Linked DNA regions of Coturnix japonica. Each later gene encodes a partner of the first gene's protein in a complex. Links are inferred from orthologs where the notes say so. Each region holds a gene or a part of one and is shown in the gene's direction. Other genes may lie near its edges. The genes, in order: GNAT1, UNC119 and PDE6G.

The links.
Region 2: the proteins of GNAT1 (region 1) and UNC119 are in contact, whole or in part, in a crystal structure (PDB 3RBQ), measured with the Homo sapiens proteins. The link is inferred for Coturnix japonica from reciprocal best matches to the Homo sapiens genes GNAT1 and UNC119. Residues at the interface, in NP_000163.2 of Homo sapiens: Gly2, Ala3, Gly4, Ala5, Ser6, Ala7, Glu8; in NP_005139.1 of Homo sapiens: Asp87, Phe88, Val89, Arg90, Phe91, Ile105, Lys106, Lys107, Gly126, Arg127, Phe128, Val129, Tyr131, Phe137, Val147, Glu163, Leu172, Ser218, Tyr220, Asn230.
Region 3: the proteins of GNAT1 (region 1) and PDE6G are in contact, whole or in part, in a cryo-EM structure (PDB 7JSN), measured with the Bos taurus proteins. The link is inferred for Coturnix japonica from reciprocal best matches to the Homo sapiens genes GNAT1 and PDE6G. Residues at the interface, in NP_851365.1 of Bos taurus: Ser140, Arg201, Arg204, Lys205, Trp207, Ile208, Phe211, Asp227, Val229, Glu235, Val236, Asn237, His240, Glu241, His244, Leu245, Ser248, Ile249, Ile281, Phe283, Glu305, Leu306, Met308; in NP_776846.1 of Bos taurus: Arg36, Gln37, Phe38, Lys39, Ser40, Lys41, Pro42, Pro43, Lys45, Leu60, Val66, Ile67, Cys68, Pro69, Trp70, Glu71, Phe73, Asn74, His75, Leu76, Glu77, Leu78.

What each region holds. Positions count from the first base shown.
Region 1 is NC_029527.1:2,003,449-2,007,191, forward strand, and holds the start of GNAT1 (guanine nucleotide-binding protein G(t) subunit alpha-1), read left to right. Parts: upstream 1-1,189; 5' UTR 1,190-1,527; coding exon 1,528-1,633; intron 1,634-2,111; coding exon 2,112-2,154; intron 2,155-2,503; coding exon 2,504-2,645; intron 2,646-2,717; coding exon 2,718-2,875; intron 2,876-2,943; coding exon 2,944-3,072; intron 3,073-3,146; coding exon 3,147-3,276; intron 3,277-3,353; coding exon 3,354-3,507; intron 3,508-3,683; coding exon 3,684-3,743. UniProt on the Homo sapiens protein: Functions as a signal transducer for the rod photoreceptor RHO. Required for normal RHO-mediated light perception by the retina.
Region 2 is NC_029534.1:4,518,598-4,522,340, reverse strand, and holds the start of UNC119 (protein unc-119 homolog A), read left to right. Parts: upstream 1-1,475; 5' UTR 1,476-1,531; coding exon 1,532-1,649; intron 1,650-3,743. UniProt on the Homo sapiens protein: Involved in synaptic functions in photoreceptor cells, the signal transduction in immune cells as a Src family kinase activator, endosome recycling, the uptake of bacteria and endocytosis, protein trafficking in sensory neurons and as lipid-binding chaperone with specificity for a diverse subset of myristoylated proteins.
Region 3 is NC_029533.1:5,208,571-5,212,283, reverse strand, and holds PDE6G (retinal rod rhodopsin-sensitive cGMP 3',5'-cyclic phosphodiesterase subunit gamma), read left to right. Parts: upstream 1-1,140; 5' UTR 1,141-1,691; intron 1,692-2,385; 5' UTR 2,386-2,466; coding exon 2,467-2,612; intron 2,613-2,721; coding exon 2,722-2,926; 3' UTR 2,927-3,108; downstream 3,109-3,713. Other genes in the region: OXLD1 (oxidoreductase-like domain-containing protein 1), read left to right, coding at 1-129; TSPAN10 (tetraspanin-10), read right to left, coding at 3,237-3,543, 3,629-3,713.

The sequences.
Region 1 (3,743 bases):
TGTAAATAGTTGTAGGGGAGGAGTGCAGGGGCGGCCAGGTGTCCCCCCTCCCCGCAGCCTGCAGCACGCCCAAATAAACACTGGCTTTGGGACAGATGCCTGCGTGTGCTCTGTTGGGGACAGGAACATCACCGAGTTCTGGGGGTGGGATCCAGGGGAGCACATGGTGGGGTGCTGGGAACGCTGCAGGGTGATGGAGGGGACGCTGGGCAGGGGGACATGAAGCTGGAGGCCACTGGGGGCACTATGGGGGAACTCTGAGTTACCACTGGGGACACTGCAGTCACTGCTGGGGGCACTGGGGTCAGGCATGGGCGGCTCTTGGCCAGACTAGGGCAGCACTTGGGGTACCGGAGGCAGCACTGGTAGCCCTGGTGGGGAAGGGGGGGTGGTACAAGTCTGTGCTTGTCTCTGCTGGACTGTACCAGGCTGTGCTGGGCTGTACTGGGCTGTACTGGGCTGTGCTGGGCTGTACTGGTTTGTAACTGGCTGTAAATGAAAACCCCCAGCTGTACTGGCCCCTGTGGCGCGGGCATGTACTGGGCGTACTGGGTCTTGTGACGGGCGTAGCTACGGGCTGTACTGGGTTCTGACGGGCTGTACTGGGCTGTACTGGGCTGTACTGGGTTGTACTGGGCTGTACTGGGCTGTGCTGCTCTATGCTGGGTCGCTCTGCCCTCTGGCGGTCAGACTCGGAACTGCAGGAGCCCCGCGGAGGAGGGTTGGGGGGACACTGGGGAGGTGTAAGATGCTGGGGCTGGGGGACAGGGGGCTGCACTGGTGGGGACGGGGCTGGGACACAGAGGGCTGTTCCTCGGAACACGGGGGTACTTCGCTGGCAATGGGGACACACTGGCAGGGGGCGGGACGTGGGGTGTCCTTGGTGTTGTGTGGTGAGGCATAAGGATACCTGGGGGCTGGGGCAAAGGGCACTGAGAGGAGCTGGGGACATTATGAGGGTCTTGGAAAGGGCTCAGGACGTGGGGGTGGGGATGACACTAGGGGTACAATGACATCAGGCAGGGATTCTTGAGAGTACGACTGGGATGGTTCACAGGGCCATACCCACGGCCTGAGAACAACAGCAGGGACATCCCTGGAGCGGGGCCATACCCATGGCTGGGAACAGCGGGTACATCTGGGTACAGCAGTGGGTACAACATCCCCACTATAAGGCCATACCCATGGCTGGGGCCAGCAGGGACATCCCTGCCACGGGGCATAGCCACGGCCTGGGGACATTGGGCCACCATCTCTGGGAGGGGACAGCTGGGCGCCCTCTCCGCAGAAGCGCTGACGCCGGGAGCCGGGGGATTGCTGAGCTCAGCCCCGGGCAGATTTCGGGGCTTTATCCGCACTCTGCCTTAAGCCGCGCTCCTTGTCCCCGTCCTTGGCCCACTTGGGTGGCAGCGGCGGCCGCAGTCGGGCGGTGGGCGAGCGCTGGAGGCGGCGGGGGGCTGGCGCTCACTGCCCGTCCTGGTGCTGACCTCCACCGAGCGGGCGAGCCGGCGGGCGGCGGAGGCGAGGATGGGCGCAGGGGCCAGCGCCGAGGAGAAGCACTCCCGTGAGCTGGAGAAGAAGCTGAAGGAGGACGCTGAGAAGGATGCCAGGACCGTCAAGCTGCTGCTGCTGGGTAGGTGGGCACAGCTCCGGGGGATGCCTGAACCTCCCCCGTGACATCCTCGTGCTCCAAACCCTGTTAGTCCCAGACTCCTCATTACCCCTGAAGCTCACCCCATCCAATACCCCCGTGCCTCTGAGCACCCCAACTCCACCCCAGCATCCCCAGACCCCTCCACATGCCCCTGAACGCTACCCTCGCATCCTCCCAGCACTGTGTCCCCCTCCCAATGCCCCCCAGTTTCCCCAGTTGTTCTCTCATTCATCCCCATGTCCGGGCCCTGGCTACGTTCCCCTGCAATGCCCCACTGCTGTGTCCCCATCCCTACCCCATCCTCTTCTTCCCCCCACCCCCAGCTCCCCCAGCACACCCTTGACTGAGCCCCCAGCAGCACCACCCCAGTGCCCCCCCCAGACCTGGCTCTCTCCCTCCCTGTTTCCCTGTGTCCCCCTTTGGTGGTCACCACTGTGCCCCCACTCTGTCCCCACAGGAGCAGGAGAGTCAGGGAAGAGTACCATCGTCAAGCAGATGAAGTAAGTCACACAGGCAGCACCGTGCCACCTACCTGCCCCATATTACAGCCAGAGGGAGCATCCACCCCTCAACGCCCTCAACTGCAGCGATGGGCACCTCTGCCTTATTTTCTAGCCCCATGAGTGTCCCCACCCTTTAGTTGACCCCCATGAGTTCTCTCATCCTATAGTTCAGACCCAAGGGTGCCCCTACCTTATGGTTCAGCCCTATGGCTGCCACCACCCTATTATCCACCCACATGGGTACCCCTACGCACCAGTTCAGTGCCCACAATTGCCCCTACCCTATAGCTCAGCTCCATGGGTGCCCTCAGCACCCCACTCAGCCCCATGCCCCCATCTTGTCCAGGATCATCCACCAGGATGGTTACTCACTGGAGGAGTGCTTGGAGTTCATCGCCATCATCTACAGCAACACGCTGCAGTCCATGCTGGCCATCGTGCGTGCCATGACCACGCTCAACATCCAGTATGGCGACTCAGCCCGCCAGGTAAGGGGCTCCCAGCATGGGGTGTGGAGTTGTACCCCTTCCCCATCCCCACTGAGCCCCCATCCCTTGCAGGATGATGCCCGCAAGCTGCTGCACCTCTCAGACACCATTGAGGAGGGCACCATGCCCAAGGAGATGTCGGACATCATTGGGCGGCTCTGGAAGGATGCAGGCATCCAGGCCTGCTTTGACCGGGCCTCTGAGTACCAGCTCAATGACTCGGCAGGATAGTAGGTGCAGGGTGGGCAGGTGGCTGGGGGCACCCTTGGTGGGACGTGCCTCACACTGTGCCCATCAGCTACCTGTCGGACCTGGAGCGCCTGGTGACCCCTGGCTACGTCCCCACTGAGCAGGACGTGCTGCGCTCCCGTGTCAAAACCACCGGCATCATCGAAACCCAGTTCTCTTTCAAGGACCTCAACTTCAGGTAGGGGCTGAGCCCCCAAGTGCTGGGGTGAGGGGTATTAGGGGGATGCTGAGCCCCCTGGTCCTGCCCTGCAGGATGTTCGATGTCGGGGGGCAGCGATCAGAGCGCAAGAAGTGGATCCACTGCTTTGAGGGGGTGACGTGCATCATCTTCTGCGGGGCACTGAGTGCCTACGACATGGTGCTGGTGGAGGATGATGAAGTGGTAGGTGGCCGTGCCAAGGGGTGCTGGGTGGGCTGGGGGGCTGACAGGGGGCTGACAGGGCTTGTGTCCTCCCACAGAACCGCATGCACGAAAGCCTGCACCTCTTCAACAGCATCTGCAACCACAGGTGCTTCGCCACCACTTCTATCGTCCTCTTCCTCAACAAGAAGGACCTCTTCGAGGAGAAGATCAAGAAGGCGCACCTCAGCATCTGCTTCCCTGACTATGACGGTGAGGGCAGGCACGCTCACACCCTGCATGGGGGGTTTGGGTGCTGGCACCCCTTGCCAGACACTCATCAGGTGAACCCAGCACCCTCAGCACCCAGCTGAAGGTCTGGGCTGTGGGGTGATGGCAGGGGAATATAAGGGTTGCAGGGTGCTGGGGACCCATGGCCCTGCTTGTAGGTCCCAACACCTATGATGATGCTGGCAACTACATCAAGCTGCAGTTCCTGGAGCTGAACA
Region 2 (3,743 bases), on another chromosome or scaffold:
TCCCCAGGTCCCACATGTGCATTGATGGGGTCAGAGCCCAATGACTCCATGTTGGAGCCCACCAGCTCGGCCCCTCTGTGGACTGTGGGAGATTGAGGGTGACTTTTTGTGCTGACCACCAACCTACAGCACTGTTGTGCACTGTGCATCCTGCTGCAGGCTGGGACCTTCCCATCTGTTCCCAGGTTATTATTTGGGATCTCTCGGGAGGAGCTGCCCCCTGAATTCCTGGTGGAGAGCCCAGGGAATGAAGGAGTGGCCGATTGGGAGCTGGACCGCCTGCTTTGGGCCCATACATTGGAGAATATTGCCACTGTGTCCACCACCTTGACCTCACTGGCGCAGCTGCTGGACCAGATCAGTAACATCGTCATCAAAGACGACGTCGCCTCCGAGGTACGACTGGTACAGCCTGATGTGGGGAGTGGAGGGGTCAGGAGCTGCTGGCCCCATGCAGAGCAGTGGGGCACTGCCCAGGAACGAGGCCCCTTAGCTTTGCTTCTCTGGTGCTTCCTGGTTGAGGACTGACTGCTGTGCTGTTCCCATGCAGGTATACCGAGCGGTGGCTGCAGTGCAGGATGCCGTGGCAGAGCTGGCTGAAGGCCGCCTGCATTCAGCTTTCCAGGCCAGCAAGGAAGCTGTCACCTGCTCGGAGCGGGCGTTCTTTGACCCTTCTCTTCTCCATCTTCTTTACTTCCCGGATGATCAGAAATTTGCCATCTATATCCCTCTTTTCCTGCCCATGGCTGTCCCAATCCTCCTCTCCCTGGGTAAGATGCTCCGAGAAGCCAGGCAGAGCAAGAAGGAGCCCACCAAGATGGACTGAGCCCATATACGGTGCCTTGCCTTGGGGCTGGGACCTCATAGAGTGCATTGCATCACGGTGCAGGCAGGTGCTCACAGAGTCTTGCACCCTCCACTCAGAACTGCTGCTTTACCCCCCTCTTTATTGAGACTTGAGGGGAGGGAGGGTGACCTGCATGCACCCCACAGCCCCGTGCTGTGTTCATGTGTAAATAAAGAGCTGCCCTGCCCAATCCTGCCCTGTTGTGCTGTGGGGGCTGTGTGAATCTCTCCCACTCTCTGGGCTTTGGCCACCTCTTGCTTTGGACTGAGTCCCGTCTTAAAGGTACGTAGCCCATATAGCACCAAGTGGGGGTGGGGAAGGGGGTTGGTGGGGTTCAGCTGTTGGTGGGCAGTTATGAATGGGGTCTGTGAGCGTTGGTTTAGAGACACATTACTGGGGTCGAGCTTTTCCCTTTGGCACATTAACAGGGGAGCTCTCGTATTGGGGGAGCCCTTTTGGGGTCGTACGGGGGAAACAAGCACGTTCATCCCGATGCTGTCGGGATGCGATGAGGGGCTTTGGGAGCGATGCCGGGCGGTGCTGCCGGCGGCGCTGGGCTGTACCGTGCGGGGGGCGGGCCGTGCAGGGGGCGGCGCTGCCCCTCCCGGTGCGGCGGGGCCGGCAGCGCTGAGCGGGGCCGCTCATAGCGGAGGTAGAGGAGGAGGAGGAGGAGGCGGAGGGGCCATGAAGGTGAAGAAGAGCGGCGGGGCCGGGGGGGCGGCAGCGCGGACCGAGGAGGAGCTGGGACGGAAAGCGCTTATCGGGCCCGACGACGTGCTGGGGCTGCAGCGGGTCACCAGCGGTACGGGGCCGGGGGGGGGCACCGCGGTGATGTCGGGTGAGGGATGGGGCGGCAATTTGGGTGGGATGGGACACCCAGCTTGGGGAGGGGGTGCTTCCATTGCGGAGTGGGACCCCCACTGCAAGCCGGGCTGGACGTGGGATGCTGCTCATTGTGCCCGTCCTATGGGTGGGCCAGGCTGAACCCCACAGCTGCGGGGGGAAGAGAGGGATGGAGGGGTTCGGGATGGGGTCACAGATCCAATGGGAGGAGTGTTGTAACCATCCTGCAGCCTTCCCAATAGGTTTCCCCTTTTCCACCCCTATAGTATTGCTGCGGTCTTGAGAGCATCCTGTGGGGCTGGAGGGGCTGTTGTGCTCTGCTGGGATTGCAGCGTGCTGGGCTGGGAGATGGCACATGCTCCAGGCCAACCTGGCTGTGGTAGTGTCCTCCTATCCACCCCCCAAAGAGCCTTTCTATACCCCCGTGTGTGTTGTGTCTCTGCAGGGGAGGAGGGGGCAATGATGGGTGGCTGTGCTTGGAGCAGGAGCGATGCTGCAGGCAGGGCTGTGCCATGAGAAGCCCCAGAAAGAAGGGATGCGGTTGTGGGTATTGGGGGCTGAGCAGCACAGGGATGGGTGAAAGGAAGGAGGGGAGGAAGCCCTGCAGATAGTGCTGGTCTGGGGGGTCTGTTGTGTCTCTGTTTCCCTGCTGAGATGCTGGGCTGTGACTCACTGCCCAGGCCCAGCAATCAGAGCAGCAGGCACTGGAGCGTGCTGCCAGCGCGCTTGGAAGAGCAGCAGTTGGATGGTGAGTCCCAGCGATGGCTGCGCTCAGTGCTTTGCTTCTTGGGAGCCCACGTGGCCCTGCATGCAGCTGTGCCCTCTTTGGGGGGCTGCAGGCACGTGGCCACCCCCTGCCCTTGCTCATGGGGCACGCAGACCTCATGTGGATTCAACTCTGGGCATCCTGGCCTTGTTGCTGCTATTTGCTCTTGTGTGCAGGAAGGCTGAGCTGATCGCCCCATGGGCAGCAGAGCTGCTCTCCTGCCTCTTCTTGCACTCAGGCAGTGTCTTACTCTGCTTCTGCTCAAGCTTACGGTGGAGGTGTGAAGTTGTGATCCAAAGGGACCTGTGTGCCATCCTATCTCTGGTGTATAGGTCCCTGTAGGTTTGTATGGAAGCCCAGATACAACTCCTTCCTCATTCTTTCTCCTCGCAGCTTGGTGTGTACAGCATGCAGCCTTGGTGCCCGTAGTTAGGGCAGTGTCTGGGGTGGAGCCTTTGCCTGGCTGGAATTTGGAGGGAGGATATATGGGGTAGAGGGCATGGGGAATGCAATGCTCCTTGGACCATGAGAAAGATCAGCACGTAATTCCTCCTTTTAACATCAGGAGAATAAGAGGAGCTGGCAAGGACTTTGTGGTATCATGGTCATGTATGGCTTTTATAGGGTGTTACAGTGGTGATATGTGTTGGGATGCACTAAAAGGACCATCAGAGGTTGTTGGATGGAGAGACACGGGGTTAAAACTTCTCCCACTCTTCCACTTTTCCCTTCTTAGTAAAGCTCTCCTCTTAAAACTACTTGAATGAACTCTTCCCATTGCAAACCTTAGTGCCTGTACCACCAAGTCATCCCAACTTATGACCACAGCCCTTTGTATCCCTCTGACCCCTGTTTTGATGCCCAGATCCAGGTGCTCCAGCCCACGTGAAGCTGACACAGGAGCTGATGGTTGGGAATTGCAGCAGTGCCACAAACATCCCTCCCAGTTCCAGATAACTCATTTTTATCCAAACTTCGAGGCCAATACCGCAGCAGCTCTCACTATTGAACCCATTCTACTGCTCATGGCTCTCCTCCTGATGTCTTTTTAATAAGCTTAAAGGGGGAGCGTGCAAGCAGTGCTGCGTATCTGTGCCGTGTCCTTCCAGTGTCACATCCTACATGATGCTAAGGTCAAACCTGATGGACCCAGGGGTGCTGCCCTGGTGCATGTGGGTCTTTTGTAGGGCTGGGTTTAGGTGTAAAGCAAAAGGCCCGTTTCCTTTGCAATTAGCAGGATTTGTTACTTGCTCATCCAACTGTGGTTACAAAAAGAGGAAAACCTTG
Region 3 (3,713 bases), on another chromosome or scaffold:
GAGCAGCTGCTGCAGCACTATGGGGACGGTGGGGAGCGGGCACTGCAGGCCGTGGAGCAGCATGTGCAGGATGAGAACATCAAAGCGATCCTGAAGCTGGAGATCAGGCTGCGCATGAGGACAGAATGAGCCCAAAAAGTGGTGAGGAACTTTCCTGCTGAGCTCCAGGAGTCTCCATGGGACAAGAGGATTGGAACACGGTGTATCTGTGTGGTTTGGGATGTTGGTTTGTGAGATGGGGATTTTAGTTACGGTGTTTGTTTGCATCAGACTGGAGGGATTCACCAAGCACATACACCCCACGTGTTGCCCCAGCACTGACGATGCAGGAGTGGTGTCATCACTCGGTGCTTCTATCCCCAGCACTGAAAATCCCTGCTACGTGCAGGATCCTTCCCACTGCCCCTTGGGTTTGCAGCATGACAGCAGCCTTGTGACAGAGATGGGCTGTGGTGTCACACCGTCCTCCCCACGCTACATTAAGCCTCTTAGGGGCTTCTCTCTGACTGTTGTCCAGAGGGGCAGGGGCTTTTCCCAGCCCCTTTCCGATGCTGTAGGATTTGTTTGGTTCAGGGGAGAGCGTGCAGCCAGAGCACGTGGGCCCTGCAATGTCCCATCAAGGGCAACTCCTCACTGTGCTGCTGCTTCCTCGCTCATCTCTGCTTTAAAACTCCTTAAACTTCACCTTGAGGCGTCACCTCACCAAATCCTGCCCAGCTGAGCACAGCCTCAGCCTGATGACACACACTGTCCCTGCAGAACCTCACCCCATCCTGCCGGGATGAGCTCAGGCAATGCACTGAATGTCACCAAAAGTGGCTTCTGAGTGGTGTTTGCTAATGAAGCTCAGTCTGGAAGTATTAATTAACAACAGGCCTTTGCTGTAGAAGAGGCCAGTTCTGCCAGCTTCGTATGAAACACCTCTGGATCCGTGTAATCCTATTTGCTGAAATCTAACTAATTGCCATTAGTGGAAGGGCCTGGAGTTCAATTAAAGTGTGCTGAGATTATACCTTTTTGTAATTGCTTTAGTGCTGGGATTACGGGAGGCTTTGGAGTGATACTCCCAAGCAGCAGGGCAGGGTGGGAAGGGGCTGCCTGGCCCCACTTCCACCATGTTTTGGGCTGATGAAGCAGAGTCTGCAGTGCTCTCATATTGTCTATACTCAGGTGTCCTCAGTGACGCCTGAGATGAGCTGGTGACCTTCATGTTTAGCAATCCCCATTGGAATAGAGACAGGGATGGTGTGGGGATGCTGTGCTTGGTGTCGGCACTGTTATGGAGTGCTGCCCTGACCATGCTGTGGTCCCATTCCTGTCCCCATGGTGCAATGGCTCAAGTCATAGGGGTGTCCCTCCTAGGGGGGATGTAGGACATCCCCATGGATGCTCTGCAGCTGTTCCCTGCCCAAGACCATGTTCTGTGGGGTGAGACAGCATTGCTAACACGCAGCCCATCCCCGTGGCATTAATCCTGACACCCCCTCCCCATGCACGCACACACTCCCACCCTCCTCCCCACCATTCCTGTGGGGAAGGACACTAGATTACCCATTTGAGAAGAAGGGACTTAATCCTATTATCCCCGAAGAGGATAAATCTGCCAGCCCCCAGCTGCCACACAGAGCACCCAGAGGACGTGTGGAGCAGGCTGGAGGGACTCATTTGGAGCAGCACCGGCCTTGGGCACGGTAAGTGATGGCTTTGGTATGTGAGAGACACCACCCAGACCTGTAGGCACTGGGGCTGCAGTGCATGGCATTGCTCAGCTGGAGCCCACGCTCAGCTCCTGCACTTGCAGGTGAGGCTCCGTGCTGAATGCCACCAAGCTGGCAGTGGGAGCTGCCTGTATTACAAAGCCCCAGTGCTTGGCAGGTTGTAGGGTGCCTGTGGGAGGGATGGAGCCATGTGCTGCCCTGGGACTTCGGGATCAGCTGCAGCCCCTCCAGACTGCAGCACACAGAGCCCTGTGAGCCATCCCTGAGCATCACGCAGCTACAGCTGGAGCAGCTTTCAGCTCACACGGCTGCACTGCCCCCAACTCACAGTGGCACTTACAATGCCCATCTCCACAGGGATGAATTGTGGTGGGGGTACCTGGTGGTGCACATCCACCTGCAGAGGGAGGGAAGGGCTGCAGGTATTGCCCCAAAGAGTGCAGGGGCTCACTGTGCCCCTCTGGATGCCCTTTGCTGCCTTTGGGGTAAGGGGATTAGTGGGGTCTGAGCTGGCCTAATTCTAAGGAGGGGAAGGAGAATGCTCACCCCCAGGGCAGCCCGGAAAGCGGATCAGCCCTGCAGGGCTCATGGCAGGGTGGGAACAAGGGCACTGAGATGGCTGCAGCCACACCAAGGTTCACCCCATTGCTCCATGTCCTTGTGCCAGGTGTGAGGAACCACCCCGTGCCAGTACCAGAACCACAGGGACAGCCGTGCCGCAGGGTGGGCTGTTAGCCCTGCTACAGCCATGAGCTTGGAGCCCCACAAACCAGAGCTCAAATCAGCCACCAGAGTGACCGGGGGACCTGCCACCCCCCGGAAAGGACCACCTAAGTTCAAGCAGAGGCAGACGCGGCAATTCAAGAGCAAGCCACCCAAAAAGGGGGTGCAGGGGTGAGTAGGGCTGAGCACCGGGGCCCAGTGTGGGACACACCTGAAGGCACCCATGTGGTGCTGCTCAAGGCTGATGCATAGCAAGGACAGACACCTGGTTTCTTTGCAGGTTTGGCGATGACATCCCAGGCATGGAGGGGCTAGGAACAGGTATGTGGTCCCCATTCCTTTATGGTGCAGCTGCAGGGCTTGCAGCAGTGCTGAGACTTGTGCTGATGCAGCCTCTGCTCTCCACAGATATCACGGTGATTTGCCCATGGGAAGCTTTCAGCCATCTGGAACTGCACGAGCTGGCCCAGTTTGGCATTATCTAGGCTGGCTACAGCCACCACCACCACCTGCCCTATAGCAGTGCTTTCTTAGAAACTGCCCTATCCATGTAGCAGGGCATAGCCTGGAGAAACAGTCATTAAAACCTGAAATAAACACAGGAGTCTGGTGTTATGGTCTGGGGCTGGAAAGCTACAAGGGTGGGCAACCACACCAGAGAGGACAGGATGGAGAAGAGGTAGAGCAGACCCAAGTAGAGTTCAGAGATTTATTATGGGATGCACATGTACAACAAAGGACGGGAAGGAGAGCACGAGGAACACTCAGCATCCTCTCCATCCCCACAGCACACCCTCAGCCCCGTGCCCCACCAGGCGCAATGTCTGCCAGCACTTTCAGTGCCAGGAGCAGCCCGGTGGCCTCCAGCAGCACCAGCACAGCCGCCCCGATGGCAATGCCTCCAGCCTGCGCACGCAGCCAGGCACCCAGCTGAACCACACAGCCCCCCAGGTGCACCACGCCAGCAGCCTCCATGTCTCCCAGTTGCAGCACCCCAAAGGCACATTGGTCGTTAGCGATGGAGCCGTTCTGCCGTGGATCCAGGCAGCAGGAGGCCGGGACGCTGCACGCCTGCACACCGGGCGCACTGCAGTTGAAATACCTGCAGGACATAGAAGAAGATCTGGGTGCCTGCTGCTTTCTTACTAACCCTCTCCATGCCCCCACGTGCCCCCAGCCCCACTCACGGGTTGCTCTCCCAGTCGCGGTAGGAGCTGAGCCCGCAGCACCGCAGGCTGCGCTGCACCTCATCCACCAGGAAGCGCAGGTCGG